Linked DNA regions of Ovis aries. The protein of the gene in region 2 purifies or fractionates together with the protein of the main gene of each other region. This does not show direct contact. Links are inferred from orthologs where the notes say so. Each region holds a gene or a part of one and is shown on either strand. Other genes may lie near its edges. The genes, in order: SUGT1, PHLPP1, USP1, WDR20 and USP46.

Region 1 (6,340 bases), on a different chromosome or scaffold from region 2:
CATTGGGGCCTCATTCAGATAAAGGAGTCAGAAAAGAGGTTCCTTGAGGTGACATTTCAGCTGAAATCTAAAGTGACAAGCATTTCTAACCACAACAATAAACAGTCAACAGAGAGGACATTCTAGGCAAAAGAACTGCTTCAAGTCCAAAGGCCCTGCACCAGGCCTGAGTCCGACACACCTGAGTAACAGAAAGAGAGCCAGTGGGGTGAAAACCTAGAAAGCAAGGCTCTCCAAGATGCCTACCTCAAGGGCCTCACCCTTGGACCTTACATTACTTGTCATTATAATCATCCTTTCCAGTGGTCCCAGTTAGTCCCATTTTACAGACAGGAAGTCTGATCAAGAAGAGTGATGGCCAGAACTTTCCTGAAACCAAGATATGGTAGACCCAAGCAGTCTGATTCCAGAGCCAGTGCTCTTAAGTACCACTCATGTTGGGCCTCAAAAGATCCTTATAATCCACAGAAACGTTTTCTCTCTCTGCTGAATTGAGACTTCCTCTGCAAAGATTTATTTTTTTACTTCCCCAGTTGGCCTCTATTTTACTGTACCTTATACACCACTCCACTAGAGCATTTATCTTATATTCTAATGACCTGCTGACTTGCCTCTCTCTCCTCTAGACTGCAAACTCCCTCACTACAGTATTTTCATCTTTAGATTGCTGGCTCCCAGTACAGCCTTCTACACCAATATACATTGTTTAATGAAACATGTAATCAGCTTGATACACTTTTTCTTTATTCTTAATAGGATGGTGTTGTATAAAAATGTGACATTTTACCTGCTATAATATCTAGTGACCTTAATTTCAAAACAGTTACTTTTAACCAGCCCTTGGGGAAAGCGAAGGGGAAACTGACTCTTTTCATCAAGGTTCCTGCCCTACTCATTATTACCAATTATCTAGTAATTAACATTCACCTGTTTAACGCAGTGAGAAGATCATCTCAAGATTAAAAAAAGGACATTTCCTCTTAACACAGGCTGGTTCTTATCATGACCATCCTCCCGACTCTGGGTTTCGGACTCAGGTCCATGGCAGGTCCTGAGAATTCACATTTCTAACAGACTTCCAGGTGATGCTCCTGCAGAGGGTCTGGGGTAACACGTGGAAACCACAACAGCACCAGACTGGGAGCAGGAGTCTCCTGTCCTCGGGCCCCTGTCCTGCCTCTCCCTGGCTGTCCACACCTGCCTGATAGCTCATCTGCATTTCCTTGGGCCTGTTTCCTGCTGTAAAAAGGAAGGGTAAGGGGTACCAGCCTACAGGAGCCATAACTACATTCAGAAAATCTGCAGCGGGGAATTCCCTGGGGTCTTCACTTCCGCTCCAGCAGGTATGGGTTCCATTCCTGGCTGGGGAACTAAGATGCCACATCACGTACTGCCCACCCCCCTAAGAGGAAAGAAAAAGAAAATCTGAGGGAGGGGGCATCCGAGAATTTGCATTTCTAAGGAATTCCTCAGTGATGCTAACGCTGCTGGTCCAAGAACCACACTTTAAGGACAAATGTACTAAAGCTAACCACACACCTATAATATGCAAATTCACTCCTAGAAAGAAAAAAAAAATTGCACTCTTAAAAGAAAGGAGTGCATGTGTTCAGCAAAACACATGTATAAGAAAATTCACAGCGGTTTTATTCATACTAGCTAACAACTAGAAATATCCCAAATGTCCACTGTTAAACAGTGCTATATTAATACAGCGAAATACTACACAGCAATGAAAAAGAATTATCCCGTCCCATAAACTTATGGATGTATCTCACATAATGTTTAAAGCAAGAGAGAGTAGCTACACTCAATTAAGTATGACGCTGTTTGATACTGTATGATACTGTTTGTATGAAGTCCAGGGAAAACTAATTGATGGTGATGGAGTTCAGAACAGATGGGTAAGAGGAATTATTGGCTGGGAAGAAACTTTAGATTTGTGTTACATACCACACGTCAATACATAATTTTAAATGTAAAATAAGTCAGATGTAAAATGACAAAGAATCCAGTATATTAATATTTTTTAATAGTAACTATTATATAAACTAGATTTCCAAAGGAGGCACAGGGCCTAAGAGGACCATACAAATGTAGACTCTGAAAACAGATACTGAGCTGAAATAAGGAACTGTAGAGAAAAATTCAGTGCCTCTGGTAACATTATTCTAACAGTGACCCCAGAAGAATCACTAGAAAACATCCCAGCACAGGAGTAATCAACCGCTTCATTTTAAGGTCTTCATATCCCAACCCCCCAAAAAACATAGCTCAAGCTACAGATAAAAGGCACCGATGGATTCGGCCCCGGCTTCCTTTCCACCTCCTCTCACTCCGTCCATCCCACTCTAACCAAACTGGGCTTTCTTGCTGCTCCCTGTTTAGGCCAACTTCACTCCTACTTTAGGATCTTGACACTGGCTCCTCTTCCTGCCTGAAATAATCCTTCCGCAGGGCTTCCAAGCTCGCTCCCTCGTGCCTCTTCTCAAATGTCACCTCCTCTACTAACCATGAGTCAACTTCTTTCAGAAATCACAGCCAAGAGAAAGGTTCTCTTGCCTCAAATCCCCAACCTTACATCTGTTAGATTAGAACAGCAAAACAAAGTCTCCTCTCTTTTTAAGCTTCAAAACAAGAAACCCCTGGCTGATTTTGAGACCCACTGCATCACGTATAAGCTTGGGCTCTCTGTGTTACTTCAAATTATTACTTAACTCACTCTTTCGGTTTCCTTTACAGCTTTATAGCCTTTCACTGCACACAAAGTGCTTTGTAAGTCATTTAACTGTATAAATTAAGACTTTAATCCATAGCAACCAATGCCTTCCACACAGCAGCGCCCCCCCCCCCAAGAAACTGTTTTGAGAAATAAAACAAACGAGTGAATAATGAACAGAAATAGGGACGCCTGGAAATTTTCAGGCACACAAGGGGAGAAGGTTTCTGTCCTCGTGGTGTGAGTTCAGACAGGCACTCAGCACCTGGTACTTAAAAATAATCAAGGATGACCGCCAAACGAAAACCCGAATGAACAAACATCGAACTGAGATTTCACTTTTTGTTCTAGTCACAAATGCCATTAAAAAAACCCACAAGCCCCTTAAGGCCACGATGCAGGTTAACTCTACCCCTAAGACAGAAGAAGGTTACGTACGCTACGGAGCTCCAAGGATGCATAAAGGGACCAGGGGTGGAAAGGGGACACGACGAAGGATCTAATGTAACCAGGCCGCCGCGGGGCAGAAAAAGAAGGGGCGGAGGCTGTCAACATCGGAGGTTGACCCAAAGGAGAAGCAGCGGCCCCGACCCCCGGAAGACAGAGCCGGGAGGAAGCCGACGCGACCGCCTGCCCCGGGGCAAAGGCTGTCTCACCTCTAACGCCGCCTGGGGGTCCTGCTCGATGAGGGCATCTGAGAAACTCCGGAACAACCTGCCAGGAAAAGAACGACTTCAAGAAGGGCTCACGAACCAAAGAAAGGGGCGGGGGGATGCCAATTACACCAAAGAGAAGGAAAGACACGCACCTCGCGGCTGCCGCAGGGCCCGCCGCCGCCGCCGCCATCTCTAATCGTCAGGGTTCCCGCTGCCGGAGCCGCTCTTCCCGGGGTTACCAGCGCCGCCACCGCCGCCGCCCAAGGGGGAAACTTCTGGAGAATCACCCACCGAGCTTCCGTCCTAAGTAGCCAACGAGCAGCCGCGCAGCGTGCTGAAGGGAGGAGGGAGAGGAGGCGAAACGCGGGCGCGGGGCGGGCTGGGACCTTGGAGGACCGACTCTCCGGACCCCGCCCCCCCGGCCGCTGACCGACCGCGCAGGCCCCGCCCCACCGCAGCCATGGTTACGGAGGCCGCGGCGGGCCACGCTCGCCCTCGGTCCTAGTGCTCGCACGCACTACCCGAGAGCCTCCGCGCGCGGTAACTCAGTAGGACCCTTGGACCATACAGTTACCCTCAGGAACCTGTGGTGTTTGGGAGACGTTTGTACGTTTGTCAATTACACACGGCACGTCGAGCTCCATTTTCCCCTATGGCTCTCATCATGGCTCCCCAGAGGCAGCCATGGCTTTCGCGACCCGTGACGCTCTCGGCTACGTGTTCTTTTCCGGGAGCCACTTCCGGAGGGTGGCCCGTTGACGCCGGGATCCTGGCGCCGGGAGCCCTGAGGGCCTCGGGCTCGCTGGGAGTCGCTTTGCCCTCACAATGGCTAGACTGGAGTTAACGCCTTTTGATTCCGGTTCGGGCGGACCGCGCGGTTCCCCAGAACTTCACAGGCTGAGGCTTTCTCCCCACTTGACTTCCAGACACAAGAAAAATGTGTTCGATCCGAAGGCGCTGAAGGGAGAAAGGGAGCCTGAAGTTTTTCTCAGTGCCGCTCTACTTTCCACTCAGCGGGTCCGACCCTCCTCCCTCAGTGCCCCTCGACCCGTGCAATTCCAACAGAAGAAACTTAGAGCTAACTCCACCGCGGCGGGAGCCGGGGAGCAGGAAGGCGTGGGAGTGAGCCGCTCGTTCATAGAGACGAACAAGGAACTGAACTGGAGTATCTGCTCCATCCGAAATCTAAACTTAAAAAGTCCGGGGATTCAGTGGTGGTAACACCCTCCAGTTTTGTTCTAAAGGCTAAAAATGAAAGGGCCGTAGTCATTGATGTGATAGCAAGAAGGGACACAACTGAATATAATGTATACGGATGGAGTCCTCATAGGTTGTAAAACTGAGCCTCAGTCTGGTAAGAAGACTAATTAGTGGAAGGAAAGGGAAAAGGCAATTCAGACAGAATAGGATGCGTGTTAGAAAGTGATGATGTGAACTCAAATTGTAGAGCCAAAATTCAAGCTAGAAGCAGACTGGAGAGGTAGGTACATGCTAGGTCATAAGGACTAGGTGTACTCCGCTGAGAAGTTTGAATGGAATTCACTTAAAGATGCTAAACCATTATAGGATTGTTACTCGAAAAAGGCATTAACGGTTAAATTTACATTTTTGTTTGTTATTCTGTCTGTACTATGGAAGACACACGACTGGACAACAACAATAGAAGAATGATTAAAGGGAACAGAACAGTTGTTGGGAGACAACTGCTGTACCGCAGGCCAATGTGTGCTCACTGCTCAGTGGGGTTTGACTGTTTACATCGCCAGGGACTGTAGCCGTCCAGTCTCCTCTGTCCATGAAATTTCCCAGACAAGGCTGGAGTGGGTTGTCACTGCCTTCTCCAAAGGATCTTCCCCACCCAGGGATCGAACCCAGGGCTCCTACACTGGGAGGTGGATTCTTCACCCCTGAACCAAAATGTCTCTTAAATAGGTCAGTGATTGTAGGGTGTGGTGAGAATAACAGAAATAATTGAAGTAAAACTGGATTTGCTGATCTTTCTTTTTTGTGATCGATTCTCTCTGTGTCATACATAAGGTTTTGCCTGCTTCAAAACCGTGAAATTAGTTACCTGTGTTTTCTTAAATGCTTTACATTTTTACCTTTCACAGCCAGATTTATTCATTTTTATAAAAGGTTTGAAGTCAGGATCAAAATTCCCCTCCCCCCACCTCTATGGATATCCAATTGACCCAGACCTATTTCCTGAAAAGACTGTCATTTGCTCTTTCCCCCAGTAAATATTTATGGCACGATTGTTGTAAAGTAGATAACCAGATATATGAGGGTCTATTTCCAGGTTCTCATGCCATTGGTCTGCCTAACCGTGTCCCACACTATCTTAATTAATGTAGCTTTATAAGTCTTAAAGCCCTATAACTTTTTCAATATTGCCATGGTAATCTTGGCTAGTCAAAGTCCCTTGTATTTATATTATTTTATATATTTTATAAAACATTTCCATTTGATTGTAAATTTTAGAATGAACCTGTCAATTTCCAAAAAAACAATTATAAAAACTCTACTAGGATTTTAATTGACCTTACATTGGATCTATAGATCAATTTATTTGGGGAAAACTGACATCCTAGTATTTTTTAAAATTGAAATATAGTTAATTATGGCGTCATGTTACTTTCTGTTGTACACAGGTGATTCAGATAGATAAATATTCCTTATTTTTCCCTCCTCCACTTTCCTCTTTGGTAACCATAAGTTTGTTTTCTATGTCTGTCAGTATCTGCTTTTTAAATAAGGTCATTTGTATCATATTTTAGATTCCACATATAAGTGATGCCATATGATATTTGTCTTTGCCTGACTTCACTTAGTAGAGTAATCTATGTAGACCTGTCCATACTGCCGCAAAAAAAAAATGGCATTATTTCGTTCTCTTTTATGGCTGAGTAGCGTTCTATTGTGTATCTGTATACCACATCTTCTTTATCTATTGATCTGTCAATGG
Region 2 (5,157 bases):
GATCCCTGTGTCGGGACGATCCCCTGGAGGAAGTCGTGGCAACTCACTCCAGTGCTCTTGCCTGGGGAATCCCATGGATGAGGAAGGAGCCTGGGGGCTTTCAGTCCATGGGGTTGCAGAGGACACAACGGAGCGACTTCACTTCCACCTCAGTGGGCCGCAGTGAAGGCCCCTCAGGCGGCTCCGGGGAAGAGCAAGGAGGCCGAGCAGGAGCCCTGCGTCCACAGGCCTCTTTCACTCACTATTGGCCCCACGCTCCCCAAGGGCGAAGTCTTGTCCTTCGTCTCCAGGGACCCTTACGTGGGCTGAGTGGACAGTGGGACTTGCTGGGATAATGAACCAGAAGCAAGCGTGCCCTGAGCTGCAGGTCTTGGGGAACCAGCCAGGCCCGTGCTGCCGCCCCGTCAGCTGCAGAGGTCCCCTCCGGGGACCCCCAGGTCACGGTGCCTCTGCTGGCCCTGCTCAGGGCGGAAGTGGGCTTCTCGGGGGGTGAGCTGTGGGAGGATGGGGTCCACACAGTCTGTCTGGGGCGGGGGCCACAGAAGGCGACTGACGAGCCCGCCCGCAGAGGGTGCCACACCGAGGAGTCAGAGCGTGCCTGGAACTTCCGGAGGGACTGAGGCACGAGGTGAGAACGCTGAGCCTCCCGGGTCCGCTCAGATCCGCCCGGAGCAGTGGGAAGACTGGCAGGCACTGGTGAGCGGGTGGGGTGCAGGGTTCCAACCCGGCCTTGCTCCGGGCTTAGAGCGGAGCCCTGCCTAGGTTCCACCCTCGGTCACTGATCCCTCGTGGGGCTGCGTGTGTGCCAAGTCGACCCGCTTCAGGCATGTCTGACTCTTTGTGACCCATGGGCTGTGGCCCGCCAGACTCCTCTGTCCATGGGATCCTCCAGGTTAGAACGCTGGCGTGGGTTGCCATGCCCTCCTCCAGGGGGTCTTCCCGACCCAGGGATGGAGCCCAGGTCTCCATGTCTCCTGCGTGGCAGGTGGGCCCTGGGAAGCCACGCTGATGGGGCCGAGATGAGCTCAGTCCTTCCACCGCCTCAGTGGTTTGCACAGCGCACAAGGAGCCCGCCACGGAGTGAAGAGCGGACATCACCAAGACAAGGAGCGGCCCACTCCTCTGGCTGCCCAGAGAGGGGTGGACGGTGGACAGCCCGCTGCAGAGCCTACAAGAGAGACTAGTTGCTGCGTCCTGTCACTGAACCTGCCAGGCGCCCCTCTGGAGGGCAGACCTAAAGAAGGGAAACCACTCTACCTGGAAAGCTGGTCCACTTGAGACCCAGCGGAGACCCAGAGCATCTCCCACACACGGGTCTCAGATGCAGAGTGGGACGGTGCCATCTGTAAGTGGGGCCAGGCAGCCAGCAGGAGTGTGGGACCCCCGAGGGCCCCACAGCACACTCGCTGCTCCCAGGAGGGGTGGGGAGTGCAGCAGTCAGCTCTGGATTTCCACTTTGTCTGTGCACCGTTAATCAGCTACACTCCAATATAAAAAAGATCAACTGTATCCAATTAAAAAAAAAGATTAACTGGTTCACATGATTGAGGGGCCCCTGAGAGAAAGGGAAACAAACTTGGCTTTGTGGGATTTTCCTGGGATCTCCTCTATGCAACCTTATCCCCCTTTTAATATCTCCTCTACACAGTAACAACCAGAAATGGAAATGCTGTAAACCAGCTACACATATTGCTAACTACAGGCTGGATGTCACTACCTTCATTCAAGGTAGTTTAACTTGTTATTTTCTCTTCAAAAGAAAAAAATCAAAGACGGAAGCACCAGATAACCCCAGAGCTCATTCCAAACCCAAGCCGCGCGTGATCATCTGTTAGACACACCTGGCTTCCCGGACAAAAGCAGATGGGTCCAGGACTCGTAAATTCCGTATTTATTATACCAAAATTACGACATGTGCGTTTGTGCATCTTGCTTTAATGTAACTCTCGGTATGTAAAGGATCTATCACCCATGCATGCTGACGGCGGCAGCGGTAAGGAACACAGCTGAAAAGTGTCTGCAAAAGGGGCTGGGCGGGAACAGGAGAGGAGGAGGAGAGGGGCAGCAGCCCCTGGGGGGCAGGTCCCTTCCAGCGGCTCAGGGCCCCTCACCTGAAGGCAGTGCCCTCAGCAGGGCTCGGGCGCACCACGGGGGACCGTGTGGGTGTGGGGACGGAGGGGAGCCAGCCGTTCAGTCTGCGTCCCTCGCGCCAAAGCTACACCACTTCTGAAGCATCACTATACAACATGGAGCTATTTACAATAGAAATTTCTCAATCAACGGTTCTCTCAGAGAAAATTAGTGACTCCCAGTGACTTCAGTCACCCGGCAGAGTGAACAACTCCTAGGAGTTAGTCTCCATTCTCTACAGACGCCTATCGTCTTCAAGACAAAGCGAGGAACCCAGAACAGCAGAAAACAAGAAAACGCCTCCCCCAGGAAGAAACACAGAATCACAATCTTACTAAGTCATTTAGCCCTGGCAACCTGCCTTGCCTTCCACACACAGAGAACAAAAAAGCCATTTAAAAAACATTACATTACCGCTAACGGTTTCTCTGTAATATATTAAACCTTTTGTTTTTCGTCTTTACACATCTGATACGTTAGGGGAAGAGGTTAACAAATTGAAATCATATGGGTAGAGCATCACTTGAAGAGAAGTGGTAATTATTATTTTTTTTGAACAGCCAACAGAAGGGGCGCCTGCGGCCGCGGAGGCGCCTTTGGCCGCGGAGGCGCCTTTGGCCGCGGGCCCCGGGCCGTCAGAGCGGCGTGTCGCAGCGGCAGTCCGCCGGCTCCGCGGGGCCCGGGCGCGGCGGCGCGGGCGGCCGCTGCCTCATCATCTCCTTCACCTCCTCTTCCAGCTCCGGGGGGATGATGAGCTGGTCGTCGGGGTCCGGCTGCGCCGGGGCCGCGAAGTAGCCGCCCGGCCTGCGCAGCGGCGCGTCGGCGGCCACCTCGATCGCATTGTGGCTGCGCTCCTGGGGGGCCACGGAGCCGTTTCCCCGCCGGCGCCCCATGGTCCCCGCGGCCCCGTCCGCGCGCCGCGCCGCGCCCGGCTCGTCCTCGGCGGCGCCCGCGCCCTCGGCGGCGGCCTCGGGCGGCGGGCCGGGTGCGGGCGGCCGCCGGAGCTCCCCGTCCCTGGCGCGGCCACAGTGGATGTCCACCGCCACCTCCACGCGGCTGCCGTTGCTGAACACGCCCTCGATGGGCTCCTCATCGTCGCTGTCCAGCCCGTTGTCCGAGAAGGCGCTGGAGAAGGTGGCGCTGGACAGCTGCCGCTGGAAGGCGCCAGGCGCGCCCCCGGGGTGCAGCGCACAGCGGGGCTCGCCGGGGCCAGCGGGGCTGCCCTCGACCAGCACGCCCGGTGGCGGCGGCTCGTCCGAGGCCGTGGAGCCCACCTCGCTGCTCATTTCCGATGTGGACAGCTCGCTGCTCATCTCAGAGGTCAGCCCGCTGCTGGAGGAGGGCGCGCCCAGCCCGTCGGCCGGCCGCTCCCGGACAGCCATGCCTGCAGCGGGCGCGAAGACGCTGGGGCTGGGCGGCGGCAAGGCAGCCAGCTCACAGCAGCAGAAGCTGTCCTCGGGAACGCTGAGCTGCACGACCACCGCACTCACACTCTCGCGGCAGCCGTAGCTCTGCGCCAGGGTGCAGAGCTTCTTGGCGGCGGCCAGCGCGTCAGGCACGCTGCGCACGGCGCCCACGGCCTCCTCCACAGACAGGCTGTCCCACAGCCCCTTGCTGCCCAGGATGAAGAACTCGTCCTGCGGGCTCAAGGCCACCGACTGCACGTGCGGGCGGGGCACCACGCTGGGGTGCAGGAAGGTGTAGCCCAGGATGCGCGTGGACTCAGTCACTCCGTTCACTTTGCCGTCCTGGAAAGAGAGGGGTTGCCAAGCAGACGTTACCACCGAGAGTTGGGGGCGGGGCTCCTGCCTGGGGGAAGCTCCTGGGCCTGCCTGTCCGCCTCCTGTGAGGGGCTCCCGGCCACCTGTCATCAGAACCTGGGGACGGCAGGGAGCAGGAGGGACACGTGGAAAGCGCTTCATGCCTTCCCTGTGCTGGGACCTGTCCGTTCCAAAGCACACCGTCATCTGGCTGAGTCAGCAACACGGTCTGATCAGCATCTCTGGGAACGCACAGGGGTCCGGGGGAAGGGCCTGCTGAGCCACCCGGGGGGGCGGCAGACCCTCCCAGGCAGGTACCATTCAGAGTGATGGCCCTCATCTGAGACCACTGCCCACAGCTCAGCAACCAGCAGGTGTGGGGAGGTCCAGAAGCGGGCAGAGTTTTAAACTGAAGGAGGCTGAAACAAATTGCTGGGGAGATCCCAGTGAGACTAGGTAGGGAGAAGTGAAGTGTTTGGAGAGGCAGACACTTATTCAAGGAGAAAGGCGGCTTCTATAATTCCTGAGCTGACTTTGCTGGCAGCAAATGGAGACGGTGATGCCTCCCGCTTCAGTCCAGCTGGGTGCCCACCATCTGAACCATGAACCAAAGTTTCAGACCGTTTGCCAGTAAAAAGCTTTTACTCTGCGGCTGAAGCGAGGAGCCCTGGTATAACTGCTTGGTTCTTGATTCTTCAAGTTCTTCTGCAGAAACGGTTAATCTCTGCACCATGTGCTGTTGAGCACGGGACTCAATGCACAGTTAACAGTGTAACTCGGTCCCATCTGAGACTCTTCGCTCCCTACATGGCGTCTAGTGTCCACTTCAGTCCTCTCTGCTCTCAGAACAGGAGGGGCCTGGGGTCGAGAGGAAGACTCCTTTCCCAGACTCCCACGGTAGGTCCTGAGTTGTCTTCCTCACGGCCCTGGGCGAGCCTTCCTGGAGTCAGTCTCTCTCTACTGACTGCAGACCTCCACCACTGTCCACCTGGACATCACACGGCTCCTCGGGCTTTACTGACAAGCGAGACTGGACACCTCCTGTGGGCAGACAAGGGAATCACGTCGACAGCACCTATCCGTTTCAGGCACACAGAGGTGACCCCCACTGCAGGGTGAGCGTGTGAACAGAGTCCAGCTCTTCCAGCCCGTTCTGGAGGCTGTGCCGCAAGCAGCCTTCGGTGCCACAGCCCGACGGCCTTTCTCAGCAGCGGCACTTGGACCTTCCGGGCCAAAGACTGTGCTGTGGGGCCGCCCCGCACCGTGG
Region 3 (6,551 bases), on a different chromosome or scaffold from region 2:
AGTTGTGGATAAGTACATGGATTTTATTCAGATGGCATTTCAACAGAGTTAATCTTTACAGGTGTAAAAACTGCTGTACATCCAGAATAAAAGTATTACAAGCACTTTAACAATATTACAGCCAACAAGCTTCAAACAATTCCACTAAAGGACTGCTAATCCCACTTTACAAAGTAGAAAACTGCAGAAGTGGTACTATGATTTGTTCAGCCAACATGACATTTTAATCAAGTAGTTTAACTCTGAACAGAATCCTGGGATTATGACGATATTTGGGAGAGGCTGCACTAAGTCAGATTCTGTTAATAAAAGATTAAGAGGAAACCAAGTCTATGAAGATACTTATACAGCTGTCCCCCACTTAAAAATGAATTGTTCAAGTTTATAATTCTTTAACCTCATTTTAACAAACAGTCTTCGCAGCATTTTTATTTATTTTACAGCTGCTGGCTATTATTCTTAATACCTTTAGGTGTTTGTAGGCATGAATCCGGTAAACAAGAGGTTTACACATAATCTCCTAAACTGATTATTGGAAAATACCAATACTAGGAAGTTACACAGAGAACCAAATATACATTAGTCATATAGCAGAGTGACTGTGTGCTGAATTTAGAGCAAGTGTAGACTCCAACTAGAACACTATTGGTGAAACAAAGAATATCATTCTGTTCTGATTTCTTTTCAATCACTGAAGGATTTATTGCATCAAAAGCATATCTTATAGGTTTGAGAATTCATGTACTAGGTAGGACTACAAAGTGCATCTCAGGTAACTGTCAGGTCTTCCGAACCAAAAGACCATCACAAATTTCTTTACCCTTACTTAAAACATGTTGCATTACAATCAGGTTTAAATTGAAAAATAATTTTAATCAACAAATACTTCTCTAAGTTAGTGTAACTGGACAAACACAATTTCAGTGAGTTATAATATTAACTGTGATGTGATCTCTGTGGGGAACCAGCAGTTTTATCTAGTTTCTACTATATACTGCTAGACTTGTCTCACTAATGTGTGTTTTTTTATGTGCCTCTATGGACTATCAGGTCAGAATGATTGTAGAAATCAAACCAAGTTCCCTGCTTTTTTACTGATACAGAATTTTTAAAAGTACAGAAAAATGCTAAAAATAACATACATACATTTCAGACCCTTTATATTCAGAAGTCTTTTCTTCATTTTCTTGAGAATCTGTGAAATCCAAGGCTCTCTTGGTTTCCTTTTTCTGAAAAAACTTCAAGGAAAGTCTGTTTTTTTTGGATGGACTACCTCTTGAAAGCCCATTACTTTCACTAGGTATGACACCAGGCATTTTCTCCTCAAATTCCAAGCAGTTGACAGGAATTAACTTATACAGGGATCTTGTAATCACCAGTCATACCTGTTAATCAGAGAAAAGGTTATTAGTTTTCAGTTACCAACTGCAGGCAATAAAATCATTTCTGAAAACAAATTTACCAAGAAATGGTACTAATTAGAACTTTGTATTGGAAAATCTAATGCCCACCAATAAGAGGCAGTCAATGTTTACTGCTTAAATGAACAAGCTGCCATTTGTCCTTAACTCTTAAACAACAAAAAGTCATGATACTGAACTTTTATTAGCCTGCTATTAGATTTAAGGGGAGCATCACAAAATACTCCACTTTAGTAAGAGATGTGTGGTAAAGTATTATCATTAAAGGGTAAAAAACTTTATCATCTATTAGTTCATCCAGAAAACACTGAGCTTTTTTACCAAGGTGGGAAAAAGGATGAATGGGAAATCAAAGGAGTGCTAGAAGTGACTTGAGTTCTTCTTCCAAAGTCTCTTCTAGTTATATGAAATAATCTACTTAAAGTATAATCTACATACAAGAAAAGGCCTACACCTAGTGTTTACACCTAAAAACTTGTGTAATAAACTATTCGAAGTTGAGATAATGGTGTAAAAAACTGCTATATTTTGTGTATATCAAATTCTTATGCACTAGAAACCGAAATATACTGACTTTACAAACTTTTTCTAACTACAGAATTAAAATACTGCTTTAAGTAGGAAAAAAGAAAAGCTTCCCTTGTGCAAACTTTCTTCCCTGTTTTATAATAAAACTTGGATTAAAAAAAAAAAGGTTGTATTTGTGGTAGTCATTTTACACTTCAGTCCTGTTTTTCATTAGGAAGATATTAGGAATAATTATCTATTACCAGAAAATCAGTTAAGAGTCCAAAAGCTCAGCAATGACTTTCAAATATAGGTAAAGGATGAACTAAACTCACACCCTTAAGCATTTCACTTGGCTGCCTGTGAGGTGGGAATTTACAACAATAAACTCAGCAGTGAAACATGCCCCTTTTTTTGAGACATCTCAGAATACCTAGAAAGCAAACCAATTTCCACACTCCAACTCAATTTATTCGTATGAAATGCTATCACTAATGGTAAACTAGCCTGCACTACAGTGTCAGGGATCCCTAAGCATAACTTGTGATTCTTGTAAAAGGTTGTTCTTAGGAGCCAATTCTAATAAACGATGGAAACTGCATTCTCTGAGAGTAATCGGACTTAACAACAAAAAACGACCCAGCAGCTAAAATAACTATCAATCCTAATCAATAAACCAATCCTCAGGGCTCCTCAAAGCAATGATTAAACATTAGCCCTACCTAGACTGTGTCACAGTTTACCAGGTGCCGTATCTTAAGCTATACCACTTCTTGCTCCTGGCTGTCCTATCACTGGGAGTTACGTCAAAAATGTTTATCTAAATCAAGTTTCGCAGAAAACACAATATATCGAACATTAAATGTTCTTGGCCAAATGACAGTGTGAACACGAAGTCCCATTAGTTTCAGGTTCTTTCCTCTAATATGGCACAACTCAATTCTTAACTTTTCACGAAAAATGTAAAACTAGGATAACATCCTCGACAAAGGTTTAAGACACGTGGCGTTCTAAAAACTTGTAGAACATCTAAAAGTTAAACTGCGCGGTAAAATTTAGCAATCACCGACAAGAACAACGTGAGTGCAAACATTTCTTGTCCCCACCCCGCAAACTGTAGGAACGGAAGAGAAACTGAGGCGATGACGGTCGGTGTTGCTGTCCGTGCCCGTCAGACGCGGCGGGCACCGGGCGGGAGGCGTCTGAGAGCAAAACCATAACGCCCGGCCCCTCGCCCGCGGAGCTGGCCTATTTACGCCCGGCCCGCACCTGCCGGAGTCCCCAGCGCCGGCTGGAAGGGGCACGGCCCGTTGAGTGGAGGGCTCGGCTGGCAGCTGGGCGGGGACGCGGCAACCCAAGGAGCCGGGGGTCCTCCCCGCGGCCCCCTTGGGCGACGGCCGAACTTGACGCGGCGCCCGGGAACCGGCCCCTCCTCCACGGGCCCTCCTTACCTGGTCATGGCCCAGAGCGAGGTCCGCGGCGGTGACGCCGGCGAGTCCAACCCCGCTGAGTGCGGGTGCGACAGGTGAGCCCCTGCCCCGGGCCCCCGACCCTCAGAAAAGCTGACCCGATCGCCCTCCCCGGGGGAAGTGACCATTCGCTCTCAAGAGCGGGAACCCGGGCTGCAGCTCGGTCCTGCCTGGCGCGGGCACCAACTACATCCCCGGAGCGGCGCCCTCCCGCGCCCGCCCCCGCCCCGGGACGGCAAGGAGCGCCAGAAGCGGCTCCGCTAGCCGGGCGCCCGAACCGCTAGGGTCTTCCTCACTCCACCACCGACGGGAACTTGGCGCGTTTTCCTCTGTCTCAGGACCCCCGTGTTTTAGCCTCCGCCCGCGCCAGCGCCGCGATTGGAGGCGGCGTCCTTCGAAAGTGCCGGTTCTAGTCTCCACGCTGCAGAGACGCGAAAGGCCAGAGCCGCCTCGCGACCGCCACTCGCCCCTCTGGCACGCCCGGACTCCTGAACCAGCTGGAACGGTAGTTGCCCCAAGATCTTAACGGGTTCTGCAGTTTCAAACAGCGCAGGCAGCGTCACGGGCAGCTCGCGCGGGTCCTCGCTGAGGGCGCGCGCTGGGAGCTAGAGGCCTGGCTGGCGCGCTCGAGCTTCACACACACACCCCGCCCCCCCCCTCGCCCCCGCCTCGCCCTTTTTTTTTTTTAACCATTCGTGCGCGAGAGCTGGGGGGAAAGCGTACGGGTCGGGAGACGGGACAGAGAGAAGATGGGACGGGCTCCTTGCTCTGGAAGGAACCGCCAGGTGCTCAAATCCACCAATCCGTGATGACAATCCCCAACCCTGCCCACCCGCCGCCCAGGAGGAGCCAATCAGAAGTACCTAGGCAAAAAAGCGGACTGGGTAGGTGGGGAAAAGCAGTTCAGCCAATACCAAAAAGAAGAGAGGAGGAGTCCAGCCAATCATTTTTTGATATACAGAGTGTTCCTCAGGCGCTGTTCCCTTCCTTGGACTCTCATTGGCTCTCGAGTGCGCGCTTTCGCTGCGGACTGTTAAATTTCGCTCTGAGTTTCGTGAATCCTCGAAGGTGGGGCGCCCGCTAGGGTGTGGTTTCCGGAGCTAGGCCCACAATAAATTCCGCCCCCGTTTCCTGCGTACACTGCTGGGCGGAGTTACCCGGAGATTAGTTTCTGAAAATGGCCGACTACCTTGCTTAGTCCGTTGCGCTTGGGTTTTCTGTATCAAATCGCAGCCCCAGGTCCTAGGCCATCCAGTAAAAACAAGCGCCGCAGGAAATAATAGTAGATTCTCTCTCAACTGAATACTACAAAGTTGAGACTCCCTTTTCAGCCCCTCTGCGCTTTTTCCTCTTGCTTACCCGTTCCCCTTCCTGACTGGACAAGAAAACGAAAGAGCGTTCTTAAGACCCAGCTCTGGCTGACGGAGCTGCAAGGGGATCCTGCGCCAGTCCTTACTAACGCGCTCAAAAACGGCAAGGCAGGCCTTACCGGGTTTCTGCTGCTGTCTGTTGTACGCCTACCTCGGTGAGATACCTCACAAAGCAAGTGTAGTGAATAAGTACAATCCAAATTCATTTAACCAAGCGTGTTTTTAGGTGCCCAGTATGTGCAGGCATTCTTTACCTGACGTGAGTTACAAGGAAATAAGGAGTGTGCTCCTTTGGGTAATAATATTAGTCTTGACATTTGAGTAGAGAGCTAACTGAAAGCGCAGCCAGCCTGGGAAGAACCTGAGGGTGAATGGTCCAGGCAGGGAGAAGGGCAAGTTTCAAAAGTCCTCAGGGTTCATGTGCTTGGTGTTTTGGGAGGAAGCAAGGAAGGCAGGGTGCTTAGAGCACACTTAGCCTGGTTTTAATGACTGGGAAATGAGATTAGTGACATGGTCAGGACTCTTATTAAGCAGGGTAGGGAGATGGGAGCCATTTGATGTTTTTGAGCTTGGAGGTGGATAATCTAAAAATGGCTGCTTGTGGTGGTAGACTGTTAACTTTCTAAAGTGCAAGGTAGAAGATCACCCAGGGAATAAATTAGATTCGCACCATCTAATAAATTAGAAAGTGGTAGCAGTGGAAATGTTGAGAATGAGTAGGATTTAGAATATATTTTGAAGTAAAGCCAATGGGATCTGCTGATAAGTAAGAAAAAGACAAAGTGGTTTTTTGTTTCTTTTAAACCAAAGTGATAGGATAGTGGTTGTCCTGGCTAAAATGGAAAGCATTGAGGTAATAGTGGGTGTGGTGGGAGGGGTGGTTTTTCTTAGACATAAAGATTGAAACGTCATACTGAGCCAACAGATTTCAAGTTTGGGGGTCCATAGAGCATTGTGATTAGGAGATACAAATTTGAGAGTCACCAAATAGTGTTTAAATCCACAGGACTTTAAGAAATCTTCTAGAATGTTGGTGGTGGTTGTTCAGTTGCTAAGTTCTGTCCGACTCTTTGTAATATTAGCCTTGTTTGTAGTTCAGTTCAGTTCAGTTGCTCAGTTGTGTCCAGTTCTTTGCGACCCCATGAATCGCAGCTCGCCAGGCCTCCCTGTCCATCACCAACTCCCAGAGTTCACTCAGACTCACGTCCATAGAGTCCGTGATGCCATCCAGCCATCTCATCCTCTGTCGTCCCCTTCTCCTCCTGCCCCCAATCCCCCCCAGCATCAGAGTCTTTTCCAATGAGTCAACTCTTCGCATGAGGTGGCCAAAGTACTGGAGTTTCAGCTTTAGTATTCCTTCCAAAGAAATCCCAGGGCTGATCTCCTTCAGAATGGACTGATTGGATCTCCTTGCAGTCCAAGAGACTCTCAAGAGTCTTCTCGAACACCACAGTTCAAAACCATTAATTCTTCAGCGCTCAGCCTTTTTCACAGTCCAACTCTCACATCCATACGTGACCAGGGGAAAAACCATAGCCTTGACTAGACAGACCTTAGTCGGCAAAGTAATGTCTCTGCTTTTGAATATACTATCTAGGTTGGTCATAACTTTTCTTCCAAGGAGTAAGCCTCTTTTAATTTCATGGCTGCAGTCACCATCTGCAGTGATTTTGGAGCCCACAAAAATAAAGTCTGACACTGTTTCCACTGTTTCCCCATCTATTTCCCATGAAGTGATGGGACTAGATGCCATGATCTTCGTTTTCTGAATGTTGAGCTTTAAA
Region 4 (6,406 bases), on a different chromosome or scaffold from region 2:
GCTATAATGACTCAACTTTGAAGATGTGGGTAAGATTTAGAGGCTAATGAATCTGAGACACAAATCCATGTAAAAATGCCTGGTTTGAAACCGAAAATCAGTCAGGCCCAGTTATATAAATTTGGTGTTATTTATTGAATTCAGTGTGTAGCAGGGTAAATTAAAAGAAGAAAACTATTAAAATTTTCAAAGGATTTGGATGGGACAAAGTGAACAACCTATTATTACTGTGATCACAATCAAATGTTAAATTTATATAGAATAAAACCTTAATAGAAGCCTAAGATTATAGGTATTATTGGTAATTGAAACCTGCTGTTAATTTGAGGGTTAATTTCTGCTAGCTTAGGTTTTTTTTTTTTTTTTCCTCCAAGAAGTACTATTATGCTTTCGCCCCTTGGTAACTAAGGAACACAGTTGAATCATTTTTAGACGATTCAGGATGTCACTATCCTTCAAGAAGATTATACACATTTTCAACGTAAAATAACATGGTTACAGGAAATTGGGATAAATACATGGGACGCAGAATACATTGTGGCATTTATCAAGACTTCTGATGCCTATTCGACTTTTAGCAGAAAACATAATAACATCAAAACAATTGTAACACAAAATTTTAGGTGTTTTAGGAATCCATTCTTTAAGTAGGGTTTTATTCTAGAGCTTTTCTGCCAACATGCACATCGGATACGGGATGTCAGCGTCAAACGCATTATTACATCAGTGACACCGTCTGCACTGGCATCTGCTTGCTTTGTGATACATAAAATGTTTATGATTTAAACTCCTCTTTACAACTTACCTCCCTCTACTTCTTTTGTGACCCTCCATCTATGATTTGTACTGAGGGAACAGAACATTGTTGGTGTAACAAATGTTGGCCTCGCACTCCAACTCCGCGAAGTCTATTAGAATGTTTATCACTTGAGAAACTCTCTTACTCTAATGCAATATGCTAAGAAACCCAAGGATAAAAGGGTGACGGTTTAATCCGCGTGCCTGCTTTACAATTGAGACCTACTACAGCATATCCTGGAGTAAACCATTCTGCAGATTCCACTTGAGCCTGATAAAAAAATCAAGTCTCCCATTTTCTGGAGAGCTCTTAATAAACTTCGGCGCAAGAGAAGGGAATCTTGCTTCGATTCAGTATCTGGTTCCACAAGTCATTTCCCCGACCCGGCCCGACCCCTCCCCTTTTCTCCAAACACCTGTTGGAGATACACTCAAGAAACAAGCGCGGATACAACCTGCTTTCCTGAAATTAGCCAATGCTCACCACAGATAGGTATGCAGATATTTGACTAGCAAACACAGATGCTACATATCTGTATGTCCTCTCCCCGCCAATCCGTTTAAAAAAAGGGGAAAAAAATAAATAAAGATGAAGCGGCAAGCTGAGGTCCTTCAGTACCTTGTCGGAAACGGACTCTGGGAAGCGCAGAGGGGCTTCCCGACTCGCGCATCCAGACGGTCGCGCGGGGCAGCCTAGCGGAGGCTCAGGACAGGGGGGCCCGCCCCCTGCCAGCCTCGGGGCTCCCCCGCGCCCTCCCCTGGCTCAGAACACTGAGGCTTCCGCGCTTGTTCGCGGCGCCCCACGCGCCGACCGCGACTTGCCGGCTGCCGAAGAGGCTCCCTCCTCAGCCCCTAAAGGTCTCGGGACCTCTCAGGGCAGGGCCCGAGGCAACTGAGGAGGCCGTCCCGAGTTTCCCTCCGCGCCGCCGACCGCAGCCCGGGCGCGGCTTCCGCTAGCCGGTTCAGTCCAGCCAGCCCGTCCGCCCCTCCACCCGCTCGTCGACCCCCGCACGCCCCGCACCAGAACACCTGCGCGGCTCCGAGGTCGCGCGGAGGCGGGGGGAGGAGCCTGCGGACGCCCCGTCGCGTGGAGCGCGCCAGGTGAGCACGCCTGCGCAGTCGGGCCGTAAACAAGCCCGCCCCTTCTCCTCGCCGGCCTCCGCGGGGCCAGCTCGCGGGTGGGAGGGGCCAGAAGGAAGGGGCGGGGGCGTGGGGGGAGGGAGGGAAGAGCGAGAGCCCCGGGACGGCGCCTGCGCAGTGGGCGTGATCCGGGCACTTAGGGCAGGATGAACGCTGCTTTCCAAGATGGCGACGGAGGGAGGAGGGAAGGAGATGAACGAGATTAAGACCCAATTCACCACCCGGGAAGGTCTGTACAAGCTGCTGCCGCACTCGGAGTACAGCCGGCCCAACCGGGTGCCCTTCAACTCGCAGGGCTCTAACCCTGTCCGCGTCTCCTTCGTAAACCTCAACGACCAGTCTGGCAACGGCGACCGCCTCTGCTTCAATGTGGGCCGGGAGCTCTACTTCTATATCTACAAGGGGGTCCGCAAGGTACCGACCGGGGCGCCGGCGGGACTTGGCCCCGGCGTGGGCAGAGGCCGGGGGCAGGGCGGTGACAGCGGGGGGCCGGGGTGGCCGCCGCTCTCACTTTGGAGTGGGCCGGTAACTCCACCGGAGTGCTCCTGAGGAAGGGGGGATTCGGGAGGAGGAGGGCGGCGGGGGCGGTGGCGAGGGGCCGCGGGGTGCGGGGCTCGGCCCGGGAGGCCCCCGGGAGCGTGTGGGGCCGGCTGCCGCCCCTCCGGCAGGGTCTGTCAGGTTTTGACACGGCCGGGGAGCCGGGCCTGCGAGTCCCCGGAAGAGGTGGGGTGGCCGTCTGGTCGCGGCTCGGGCCGCCTCGCCTCCCGGGGAGGGTTGCGAGTCCGGCTCTGAGTGAGAGACCAGGGGCGCCTGGGCGCAGGTCTGTAAGGCGGAACCCGGCCGGGAGGCGGAGGACTCGGTCAGAAATGGACCGGCTCGGCACCAAGGGCCGCCTCACCTGCTGCCGCACCGCCACTCACTAGGAGCCTCTTCGGCTGTTAACACTTGGCCGTTTCCAAAAAAAAGAAAAATCATCCGAGGGAGGCCGGCTGTCACTTGTCTCCGCGGAGGGAACCTTCCTCCTGAGAGATTGTTAAGGTAGGGCTCATCTTGTCCCTTACAGTATGGAAAGGGCTGAGGACCACACTTGGGAGTGGAGGAGATGTTTTCAGTGAACTGAGCTGGTTCCTAGGGATGCTGTATGAGCGTGCCCAGATCCATCCTCGTCCAACAAGTCAGACTGTATGTGCCTAGCAAGGGAGGGTATGCCTTAAAAGCTGCTTCACAAGAACCATTATTCTGGGCGGGCGATTTTAACAGTAATTCTCGCAAGCATGTAATCATCCTCTTAAAGTATCTCTTTGAAAGAAGCAACTTATTAGAACTTTTCTTTCATTGGCTACATAACTGTGTTCTCATTGAGAACTGCTTACTTTCGAGATACGCCATCTGGGAGTTGACTCTTGGAAAAATGAGGAAATTAATGCCCCTGCCGTCCCCGCCAGCACCTGGGCGTGGGAAAAGGTGTTAACAGATTAATTTATAAATGGTCAGTTAGTGTGAAAATAAATTGTATGTATTGAAGGGTGAACGTTTCCCCGGATATACTGTATCCAGAAGCAGTGGGTTTTTGCTTGGTTACAAGATCTAGGAATGTGGCAGTGGTATCTCGGTGGAGCAGGTTGTCTCATTTGTTCCAGGTGAGCCTGCCTGTTAGTGTTTGCGCTAAGTGTACTTCTGTGTTTGAGGTATCCTGTTATAAATTACTGGAGGTAAATCGCTTGACTTTGTTCTCTTGTAGAATTGGAGAAGTCTGAAGTAGTTAGTAGTCTAGGAGTTGAAGTTTTTAGTCCTGCCCTCAACTTTGTCACTGACTTGTTGGGTGACCTTTGACGAGTTACTTAACTTCCATCTGCAGCTCTTTAAAAGAGTATTTCAGTACAGCTGTTGTGATTTTTAGTGTTATGACTATAATGAACTTTAAAGGCCCGAAACATTCAGTAGATGTAAAATACAGTTCAAATAAGTGTCAAGAGCATCTGTCAAACAGGAGCGTTTATCTTAACATTGATGCAGTGACTGAAAGGATCAGCTTTTTCTCTGAAAATAAGTTTAGAATTTTAAGTTATTAAATTGATTTACAAAAAATTTTTTAAGTGCCTAAAAGCTAAATATATTAAGTTACTAGTGTAGACATTACCTTAAAAAATTTTTTTTTTCTTTTAAAGTATACTATTTCTGAAGCATTCTAGTGGCAAGCTGTATCTGTACCTGGTAGCTCTGGTTTGCATCATAAAAATAGGTCTCTTGCCTGGAAGTATCATAATGGTGCCTACTTGTAGTCCTGCTCAATGAAGGATGAATTAGGAGATCTTTTCAAAACTACACAAAAAATTATTTTAAACAAGACAAATCTTAAACATGTAAATTTGCCTTCAGCTGTGTAATTTACTTGAGCACATTAACTTTTCTGTAAAATTTCATTTTCATGTGGTAATATCTTATAGATACATTTGCATTATATGTTGGACATTTAAGCTCTTTTCTGGCCACTGTAATTTTTTTTAAAAAGCATGTCCATGAATGAGTTTGCATTTATTTTTATTTCTGAGTATAAGTGATTGTTTTTATGACTCTGTTTCTGATTTTAAAATATGGCAGATTCTTTTCCTTAATTAAAAACCTTAATTAAAGGTGGATTAAACCTTAATTTAAAAACTTCAGATTTTACTTTTTGGGGTTAGGAGTTATAAATCTGTTTTTGACATTTCGTTGTTTTGACTCTTTAAAAATTTTTTCTTTGGGGCATATAAAGTTTTACAACAGTTAATCAGATCATTTACATAATTTAGAAGATTTAAATTGGATGAATACATTCAACTTAAATCTGACTGGATCTTTTATGTTATTAAAGTATAGTTGGTTTATAGTATAATATTAGTTTCAGGTGTAAGGCGTAGTGATTCAGTATTTTTACAGATGATGCTCCATTAAAAGTATAAGATAATGGCTGTAATTCCCTGTGCCATACAGTATATTCTTGTTTCCTGTTTATTTTATGCATCGTTTGTATCTCTCATCCTGTACCCATAACTCGCTCCTTCCACCTTCCCTCTTCCCTTTGGTAACTGCTAGTTTGTTTTATCTGTGAGTCTGTTTATGTTTTACATAGATGTTTGTTTGTATTATTTTTTAGATTCCACATATAATATGTGATGTCATACAACATTTGTCTCTTTCTGACTTACGTCAACAAGTGTAATATTCCCTAGGTCCATGCACACTGCTGCAAAACTGGGTCTTTTAAAAACCTTAAATTGTGAACTCTGTACTGTCATTCCTGAAAGCAGGGGTGGAGTCCTGGAGAGAGAGAGTAGATGAGGAGGTAGTCAAAGACCTAAGCTGAGGAGTGTGATCTTGGCCTCTTGAAAACACAGGTCAGTTGCTAGAGCTGAAAGGGACCTTCAGTTTATGGAGTCTCACCCCTTTGGAGAAAGCCAAGGCTAGAGAGGATGTGCAAACTGTGAATCAGTTTTTTTTCTTGAGGTAAAGAATTCATGACAAAGAAGCACAACTGAATCTAAGCAGCTGTCTCAGTGAGAAGAGACCAATCTAGCTTTTTGGTTGCACAGATAACCGTATACTTCAAGCTTTTCAGAATTTACCCCAGCATTTTGCCCTGTGTAAGCTTATTGAATCTTGCAATCCTGTTAGGTAAATGAAGCGTCATTTCTTTTTGGAACCAAAGTTCCGAGTAGGGTTTCTTGTGTGAAAACATCTAGTTTTATAAATTTATTTTGTTGAACTAAAAATAATATGGACACTGATTTAATACTGAGGGTAAACTCATTGTTTCAGCAAAGATTTAAGCGACTACTATGATGATAATTCTACTCGGCACGGTAATGTGGGATACCCAAAGACAAGTGAGACCCTACCCTTCTCCCCAAGAATTTTCAGCTACTAGCTTTCTTTATGGCATTCTTTGGTTTCTTTTTTTAAAAAAGAGGTTTTAGGATACAGATGCCAAGGTACTGGGCTTGTTGTACCAACTCTGATTTTATGGAGATCTGTTTTAGCATAAATGAGAATGCCACCACTCAGATCCCTACTTAAGCATCACTTCTCAGCATATCCTTCTTTGAATTCCCAGTCTAGATCAGTTTTCCCCATCATATGTTTTTATAGCATCCTATACTTTGTCTTTCTAGAACTTTTCTCAATTTGTAATTCTCTATCTCTTCTAGAAACAAAGCTCTCTTAGAATAGGATGTCTTTCTGTTTTCTCTGCCGTCCTACATGAAGTAGACCCCTGCAGTTAAATTTGTTGAGTGAATGACTGGGAAAAGTGTCCATGTCCATCTATGTCCTACTTTAAAAAGATCTTTAGTGACTTCCCTAGTAGTCAAGTGGTTAAGAATATGCCTGGCAATGCAGGGGCCCTGGGTTCAATCCCTGGTCCAGGAACTAAGATCCCACATGAACTGGAGCAACTTAGCCTTCGTGCCACAACTAGAGAGAAGCCCAT
Region 5 (6,265 bases), on a different chromosome or scaffold from region 2:
AGTTTTACATATTATTTTTAATTTTTTTTAATGTTTTCAACTATTCTAAAAATGCCTGCCTCAAATAAGTAATTGACTTTCCAATATAAAATGATCTCTATAAATGTCCTCCAGCTTTATTACAAATGTCTAGTAATTTTATTTTCCCTTCACATCAAGGTGACTTCTATTTAAAAGAATTCAAATCTGGCACTCACAGTGGTGCCCAATAACATCCTGGGGTTGTTCAATGGATGCTGAAATGGTAATACCTGGTAAATTCAACATAGTTTCAAACAAAGTAGTTAAGAACTACTACTCACTAAGGAAGTTTCTGACAACCAAATGTATATACACATTAGTTCTACAAGTTGAGAAAGAAACTACGGTCCCAAGAAACACAACAATTTGTTCAATGGCACCATTAGACTGAAGCTTAGCTGGAGAGACACCCAATAGCATAGATTTCAGTTCTAAGCTCTTCTGACTACAATCATAGAAAATAAAAGAATCAAACTCGAATCAAATGCAAATTAAAGAAACATCCTGCTGTGATCACCAGTTTACTGTCCTGCTTCTGAGATTTTGCTCAATCTTGATCCATGTGGATAACCCACTGTATTCAGATAGTTTCATCTTTACCAATGTTATGCCCACAAGATAAGAAACCATTGAGCTCCTTGGGGACAGCGACTCACCTCGATCAATTACACACCTGCACATAATATGTGCCGACACTAACACAGAGATCCTCAACAGATGGCCATTTCCAGGCACAAAACGTAATCTATTTGACACACGGCATTCCTTTCACGGAATATTTTACAGCACTATTCACAAATGAAATTAAGATTTGATGATTTAGGCCAATCTGCATCCATACAAGTCACATTTCTAGAGGGCACATTTGGTTTCTACTAACAAATGCTTCCTCTTTAGAAAATTCCTCAGGCTTTTCAAATAGAAAATCTACCCCCCAAAAACCTTTCACTTACAAAAGTTAAACCCATTAGCCTGGCCAAAATCAGAAGACTATCAACAAGGGACATTTCCTCATGCTTGGTAGCAGCTAATACATTTAAAAAATTACAACATACCAGCCAAACAAGCTTTACTATCTCTGAAGCAGACACGCTGTGTAGCTAAGGTGACAAGCCCTCAGCAAGCTGATCAAGAATCACTATGGCAGGAATTCACACGAAGTGAAATTAAGACAAACGGGAACTCGCATTAAACTGCCAATGGACAATAAAACCTCGGGGGTAGAAGACAAGTAGAGGGATGGGAGTATTTTCCACGACCCCTGTACCTAAAACTGGCACAAGAAGTGTGGGGAAAAGAGAAGGTGTTTATTTCTCAATCACACAAGGATTTGCAACAAGGTTTTTCCTGCTCTGCTGCGTCCTTTCTTGTCTGCTGGATGAAACAAATCCAGACTCAGTACTAGGTCCTGGTTTGCACAAGCCTTACCTAGAAGGATGTATCTTCTATCACTGTTTCTGTGACACACATCAGCCTGTTTAAAATATGCCAGATGACCTGCTTTTAAAAAAAAAAAAAAGACGCAACTGTCAACTGTCACTTCTTACTACAACTCCATTTGGTCCCAATGGAGTTTGGGACTGGGAAGGATCAGTTAGAGCCCCCCAGAGAGAAAAGAAGTGGTGAGGAGAGACCCACAGAAGACCTACCTGGAAACAATTCATCATTGAGTGAAGAATCTTAAGCGAGGTCCAATGAAACTGTATGTCTGAACAAGTGAAAAGACAGCAGTCTCATCACCCAGCCTCCTCTGTGGGAAGCAAGACTGGGAGGGACCAGGGCACCAGAGCAGCCTTTTATAAGGGGGCGGGATTAAGGACTCCCACCCCAGTCTCCCTGTATGGGCTTGGTTTGCATAAACAAACATTTATCTTAGCATTTATCTTAGCAGCTGCTTACATCAGGTCCAAGAAGACACTGTCCTTTAAACAACTGAAGATGACATAATAATGAGAAAGATGAAGCTGATCAGCAACACGTGATACTCAGTAAGTACTTGCTACCTAGTAGGCTCAGTAACTCCTTTAATACAACAGTCGCATGAGGAGGAACCATTATCATCCCCTTCTTGTAGATTAGGAAAGTAGGAGAGCAACTGGTTCTGGGACAAAAAACTAGCATATGTTCGAACCAAAACCCTGAACCCAGGAAGTCTGACTTTAGAGCCCAGACTCTTTATGTCCCTTACTCTAGGCACAGGGTCTATATCGGAATGTACAACTCCCGAGTTGTGAATTATTGGTTCCTCATCTCACTTGGGTGATGATCCTAAGTTTGGTGCCTTTTTAAGGACTTCACATGAGATGTCAATTCTCCACAGCCCACTCCTCTCGTCTGCCCTGCAGCTTGCCTCTCTAGCTGAGTTTTGTTGGAAACAGGTTGTGACATTCTGCTCAGGTGTGCCAAGAAGCCCCAGCTGCACTGAGGGCAGAAAAGGAAAAAAGCTGGAGGCTGGCTTCATCTTGGCACACGCTAGCTCTCAAGTTTCCAGCCTGCTTCAGTACAGAGGTGTCACCACAAACAAGCAGGGCAGGAACACCACCACCGACGGCTCCACTGCCCTGTAAGCCCAAAGCCACCAGAGCAGGCACGAAAGAGTGTTAGAGTTGCTCTGGTTTCACAGTTCCCCTCAGGAGCTGGTCTTAGCAGACAGAGAAACCGGGAAGAGAGGCATCACCTTTTCACTGCACCAAGCAACATTAATGCCATTCGACAGGAGGGAGCAGGGGGCCTGTCTCCGCATGGAGAAGAGAGGAAATGGAAACCGGCCAGGAGCCACCCACCACGTCTAACTGGTCCTGAGCCAGTATTTTTGCAGCTGTCACCCCGGGAAGGCCCAGCTTTTGCTCTGCCCACCACAGCAGTAGCCACGTCCAACAGCGCTGAAAACTGAAGCCAGCGCCAGTGGGTCTTGATTCCATCCCTGAGTAACACATGGCTCCTTAATGCTCCTTTCCCATGTGTTAATCTTGCAGGAGAATATGGGACAGAAGATTTGAAAAGCTGGGTGATGGGGGAAGGGCAGCCAGATCACCTTACTCCCAGGCTTTTCAATCAAGCCTCCTCAGATTCCCTTTAGCGGCCTGTGTTACTAGCTTGAGAGGTTTCCCCAAACTGGTATTAAAAGAGCATGTGTTCCATCCAGCTGGAGGAAGGGGAGACAGGATGGGGGTGGGGTGGGGGGTTGGTCCTTGGACAGCCAAGGCAAAGCACACACCCTCTCATCGTGCACAGGAAGGCAGTGCCTCACTCCAGGGGGCAAGCCTTGGTCCCCAAGGCTCTGACAAGTGGAAGTACCAGCAGGAGGCACCCTTGAGACCCAAGGGCTGGAGGTTGTTCCTGCAGAAGGCAAAGCAATGGGAGAAATACAAGTTAAAGTGATCACGATGTCGTGGGCCCCGTCCTCACCAGAGCCCAGCAATGTCCTCTTGCTGCGTCCACACCCACCGGTCCACACTTGGGTCTACAGTGACAGGCAGGATAACCCTGGAGACCTCCTCCATGCCCCCCAGACGGCCTGCATCCTCAGGACCTTTAAATGTCACTGCCTTATGACCTTGTTCCCCTTTCACAGATGGGGAAACTGAGGCATCCACAACAAATGACCGTGCTTTCCCAAACCAGGTATAAGTTCACTTCCCTGACCACAATTTTGCACTTTTTTTTACAGCTCTATCACATTTCAGATTTCTCCAGACACACCGACTGCCTCTGCAAAGTGAATCTTAAATACAGTTTAAAAGAGTGAACTCAAAAATCAGATAAGGGCGGTCAGGGTGTCCGGCAGGGCTTTATCTTCGGCAAGAACATGGTGGGCGTCCCCCGCGACCCCAGCTTCTCCAACCTGGTCCCCCGGGACGTCCGGGTTCGGCCTACCTCCTCCCCCCAAGACGCTTCACCGCAACCCGAGGGCGGAGGCGCAGCGGCTCAGGGACGCGCGGGCGGGCGGGCTCCCGGGTCTCGGGGCCGAGAAGGGGGCGGGGGGCTCCGGGCCCCTCCCCCGACAGCTCTCCGGGCCGCGACCGGCCCGCCCAGCCCGGGGGCCGGGAACTTCTGGCGGCGCCGCACGGCCCCCGCCGCCCCCACCCCCACCGGCCGCTCGGCGGGCGTGCAGCTCGGGTTTCCCATTCTTCGCCTCCCCACGCCTGGGGCTCGACCCTCGAGGCGGCGGCGGCGGCGACCACTCACCATATTACAGATGGAGGCGATGTTTCGGACAGTCATTAGTCTAAAGGTTACAGCGATCCCGCACCGCCATCTTTACAAGGGGAAAACAGGACCGGCCATGGTGGAGCGCTCGCGGGGAGGCCGGGCGCGGCGGCGGCGGCGGCGGGGAGGCGGCCTGGGGTCCGGCTTTCAGTTTGGCTGGGAGAAGGGAGGCCGGGAGGGAGGAGAGGAGGCGGGGAGGGCGGGGAAGGCGGGAGGCGGGCGGGAGAGCGGAGGGGCGGGGAGTGGCGGAGCGAGGGAGCCTGGGCCGCGGCCGGCGGCGCCGGGAGGAGGGGCGGCCCGAGCGCCGCGTGCAACCCGCACGCCCCGAGCGCTCCCGCCGCGCTCCGGCCCCGACCCGGCCCGGGTCCCCGCGGCTCCTCCTCCCGCCTCCGCCGGCCGCCCCGGCTCGGCTTTCCTCTTTTTTCTCTCTCGGCGTCCTGCTTCACTCCGAACCGGCTGGAAAGCGCGGCCAGGCCCCGGCTCGCGCAGCTGCAGCCGGTCCCCCGGGCGGACCCGTCCGCGCCGGCGGCCTCCTCCGCCCAGCTCCGGCCCGCGGCGCCGCCCGGGAAGCGAGACCGAGCCCTCGCTGGGTGTCGGCCGCCGGAAGGCGCAGCGCGCGGGCTGGGGACTCGCGGCCGCTTTCTGTCTTCACTTGTTCTTTCTGGCCGCGCGGCCCGCAGCAGCCCCGCGTTTTCACGTTCCGGCGAGTGGAGGAGGCAAGGGGCAGGGGTGACTACGTCCAACTTTTCGTTTGTCCCTGGGTTTCCAGCTAGATGGCACCAGCGGGGACCCACGAAGTAAATGGGGTCAGGACACGGCAGTGCCGAGAGCCCTTGGCCTGCCGGGTCGAGGGCGCCGGGAGGGGACGGGAGCGTGGGCCGAGGCGCGCTTGGGCAGTGGGTGACAGCAGCAGGTACAAAGGGGAAGTCTCAGTACTGGATAAGGACTAGGGATGGTCCAGGGAGCGATGGAACCTGGAAAGAATGAAAAACAAACTTTTCCGCGTCTTCTAGAAAAACCTACTTCACTCGGGGCCACCCAGCTTCTTCAGGTTTGGAGGGTCATTGTATTGGCTCATACACATTTCCTGCATACACAGTCGTGGTTTTTAACTCAAAGCGCGAATCTACACCACTTAGCAGTTACATTCTGTGAAGTGGAGGAGCCCATTTCCGAAGGTGTAAAACAGTTCTCATACAAAGTTGCAGTTTTATGCTTTCAACAGAGAAGTTGTACGAGGGAAACGCCTGACAGTTCTTAAACCCATATATTTAATGACAAATCGAATTAGAGGAGAAATTAATGAAATTGAAGATAGCTTTTATCTAACCAAGAGGAACATACTGGGAAAATAGCTCACTTCCTGTCCTCCATTATCTATTTAGTGTTAATGCTCTTTAGTAGTTGAAGACCATTGATTGTTAATGTCCCTAGGACCTGGGATGGAAATAAGACAACGGAGACAAAGTTTCGTTGGGGGTCATCTTGGCTCTGGATATTTAATGGATTTCCAGACATCAATTCCTGCTTAAGTTATTCTGCCTACATCTTATTTCCAAACAGATCCTGATAATGATGGTAGCTCACTTTGACTTTTTACCATTGTCAGTCATGATGCTCTTTACATTCATGACCTTGGTCACCGCCAAACCCATCGGATGACGGATCCTATTATAATCGCCTTTTGTAGGTCAGTTAAAAAAAAGCTTAGGATACCAAGCATCCTATTTCCATCATGTTACCCATATGTTACAACTGAAGCTGGGGTGCTAATCTGGCTGAGCACCTTGAAGACAAGAAAACAAAACACCCAACCTATGGCCAGTTAGGGTAACTGACACCTGGGTGAATGTGCCTGCTCAGTGGCTCAATCACATTCCACTCTTTTGCGACCCCATGAACTGTAGCCCTCCAAGCTCCTCTGTCCATGGGATTCTCCAGGTAAGAATACTGGAGTGGGTTGCCATTTCCTCCTCCAGAGGATCTTCCCCACCCAGGGACTGAACCCGTGTCTTTTGCATTTCCTGCATTGGCA

What was found.
Region 1: the proteins of PHLPP1 (region 2) and SUGT1 purify together in Homo sapiens (affinity purification with mass spectrometry; 5 studies listed by BioGRID and IntAct, with this or other methods). This does not show direct contact. The link is inferred for Ovis aries from reciprocal best matches to the Homo sapiens genes PHLPP1 and SUGT1.
Region 3: the proteins of PHLPP1 (region 2) and USP1 purify together in Homo sapiens (affinity purification with mass spectrometry; 6 studies listed by BioGRID and IntAct, counting the BioPlex papers as one, with this or other methods). This does not show direct contact. The link is inferred for Ovis aries from reciprocal best matches to the Homo sapiens genes PHLPP1 and USP1.
Region 4: the proteins of PHLPP1 (region 2) and WDR20 purify together in Homo sapiens (affinity purification with mass spectrometry; 4 studies listed by BioGRID and IntAct, with this or other methods). This does not show direct contact. The link is inferred for Ovis aries from reciprocal best matches to the Homo sapiens genes PHLPP1 and WDR20.
Region 5: the proteins of PHLPP1 (region 2) and USP46 purify together in Homo sapiens (affinity purification with mass spectrometry; 7 studies listed by BioGRID and IntAct, counting the BioPlex papers as one, with this or other methods). This does not show direct contact. The link is inferred for Ovis aries from reciprocal best matches to the Homo sapiens genes PHLPP1 and USP46.

The regions. Positions count from the first base shown.
Region 1 is NC_056063.1:11,522,423-11,528,762, forward strand, and holds the start of SUGT1 (protein SGT1 homolog), read right to left. Parts: upstream 3,692-6,340; 5' UTR 3,566-3,691; coding exon 3,528-3,565; intron 3,434-3,527; coding exon 3,376-3,433; intron 1-3,375. UniProt on the Homo sapiens protein: May play a role in ubiquitination and subsequent proteasomal degradation of target proteins.
Region 2 is NC_056076.1:61,591,568-61,596,724, reverse strand, and holds the end of PHLPP1 (PH domain leucine-rich repeat-containing protein phosphatase 1), read right to left. Parts: intron 3,879-5,157; coding exon 2,766-3,878; 3' UTR 1,877-2,765; downstream 1-1,876. UniProt on the Homo sapiens protein: Protein phosphatase involved in regulation of Akt and PKC signaling.
Region 3 is NC_056054.1:37,862,166-37,868,716, reverse strand, and holds the start of USP1 (ubiquitin carboxyl-terminal hydrolase 1), read right to left. Parts: upstream 3,724-6,551; 5' UTR 3,380-3,723; intron 1,386-3,379; 5' UTR 1,317-1,385; coding exon 1,147-1,316; intron 1-1,146. UniProt on the Homo sapiens protein: Negative regulator of DNA damage repair which specifically deubiquitinates monoubiquitinated FANCD2. Also involved in PCNA-mediated translesion synthesis (TLS) by deubiquitinating monoubiquitinated PCNA.
Region 4 is NC_056071.1:64,614,381-64,620,786, forward strand, and holds the start of WDR20 (WD repeat-containing protein 20), read left to right. Parts: upstream 1-2,081; 5' UTR 2,082-2,103; coding exon 2,104-2,352; intron 2,353-6,406. UniProt on the Homo sapiens protein: Regulator of deubiquitinating complexes. Activates deubiquitinating activity of complexes containing USP12. Anchors at the base of the ubiquitin-contacting loop of USP12 and remotely modulates the catalytic center of the enzyme.
Region 5 is NC_056059.1:69,050,353-69,056,617, forward strand, and holds the start of USP46 (ubiquitin carboxyl-terminal hydrolase 46), read right to left. Parts: upstream 4,389-6,265; 5' UTR 4,246-4,388; coding exon 4,210-4,245; intron 3,356-4,209; exon of another isoform or gene 3,239-3,355; intron 2,969-3,238; exon of another isoform or gene 1,689-2,968; coding exon of another isoform or gene 1,671-1,688; intron 1,522-1,670; exon of another isoform or gene 1,450-1,521; intron 1-1,449. UniProt on the Homo sapiens protein: Deubiquitinating enzyme that plays a role in behavior, possibly by regulating GABA action. May act by mediating the deubiquitination of GAD1/GAD67.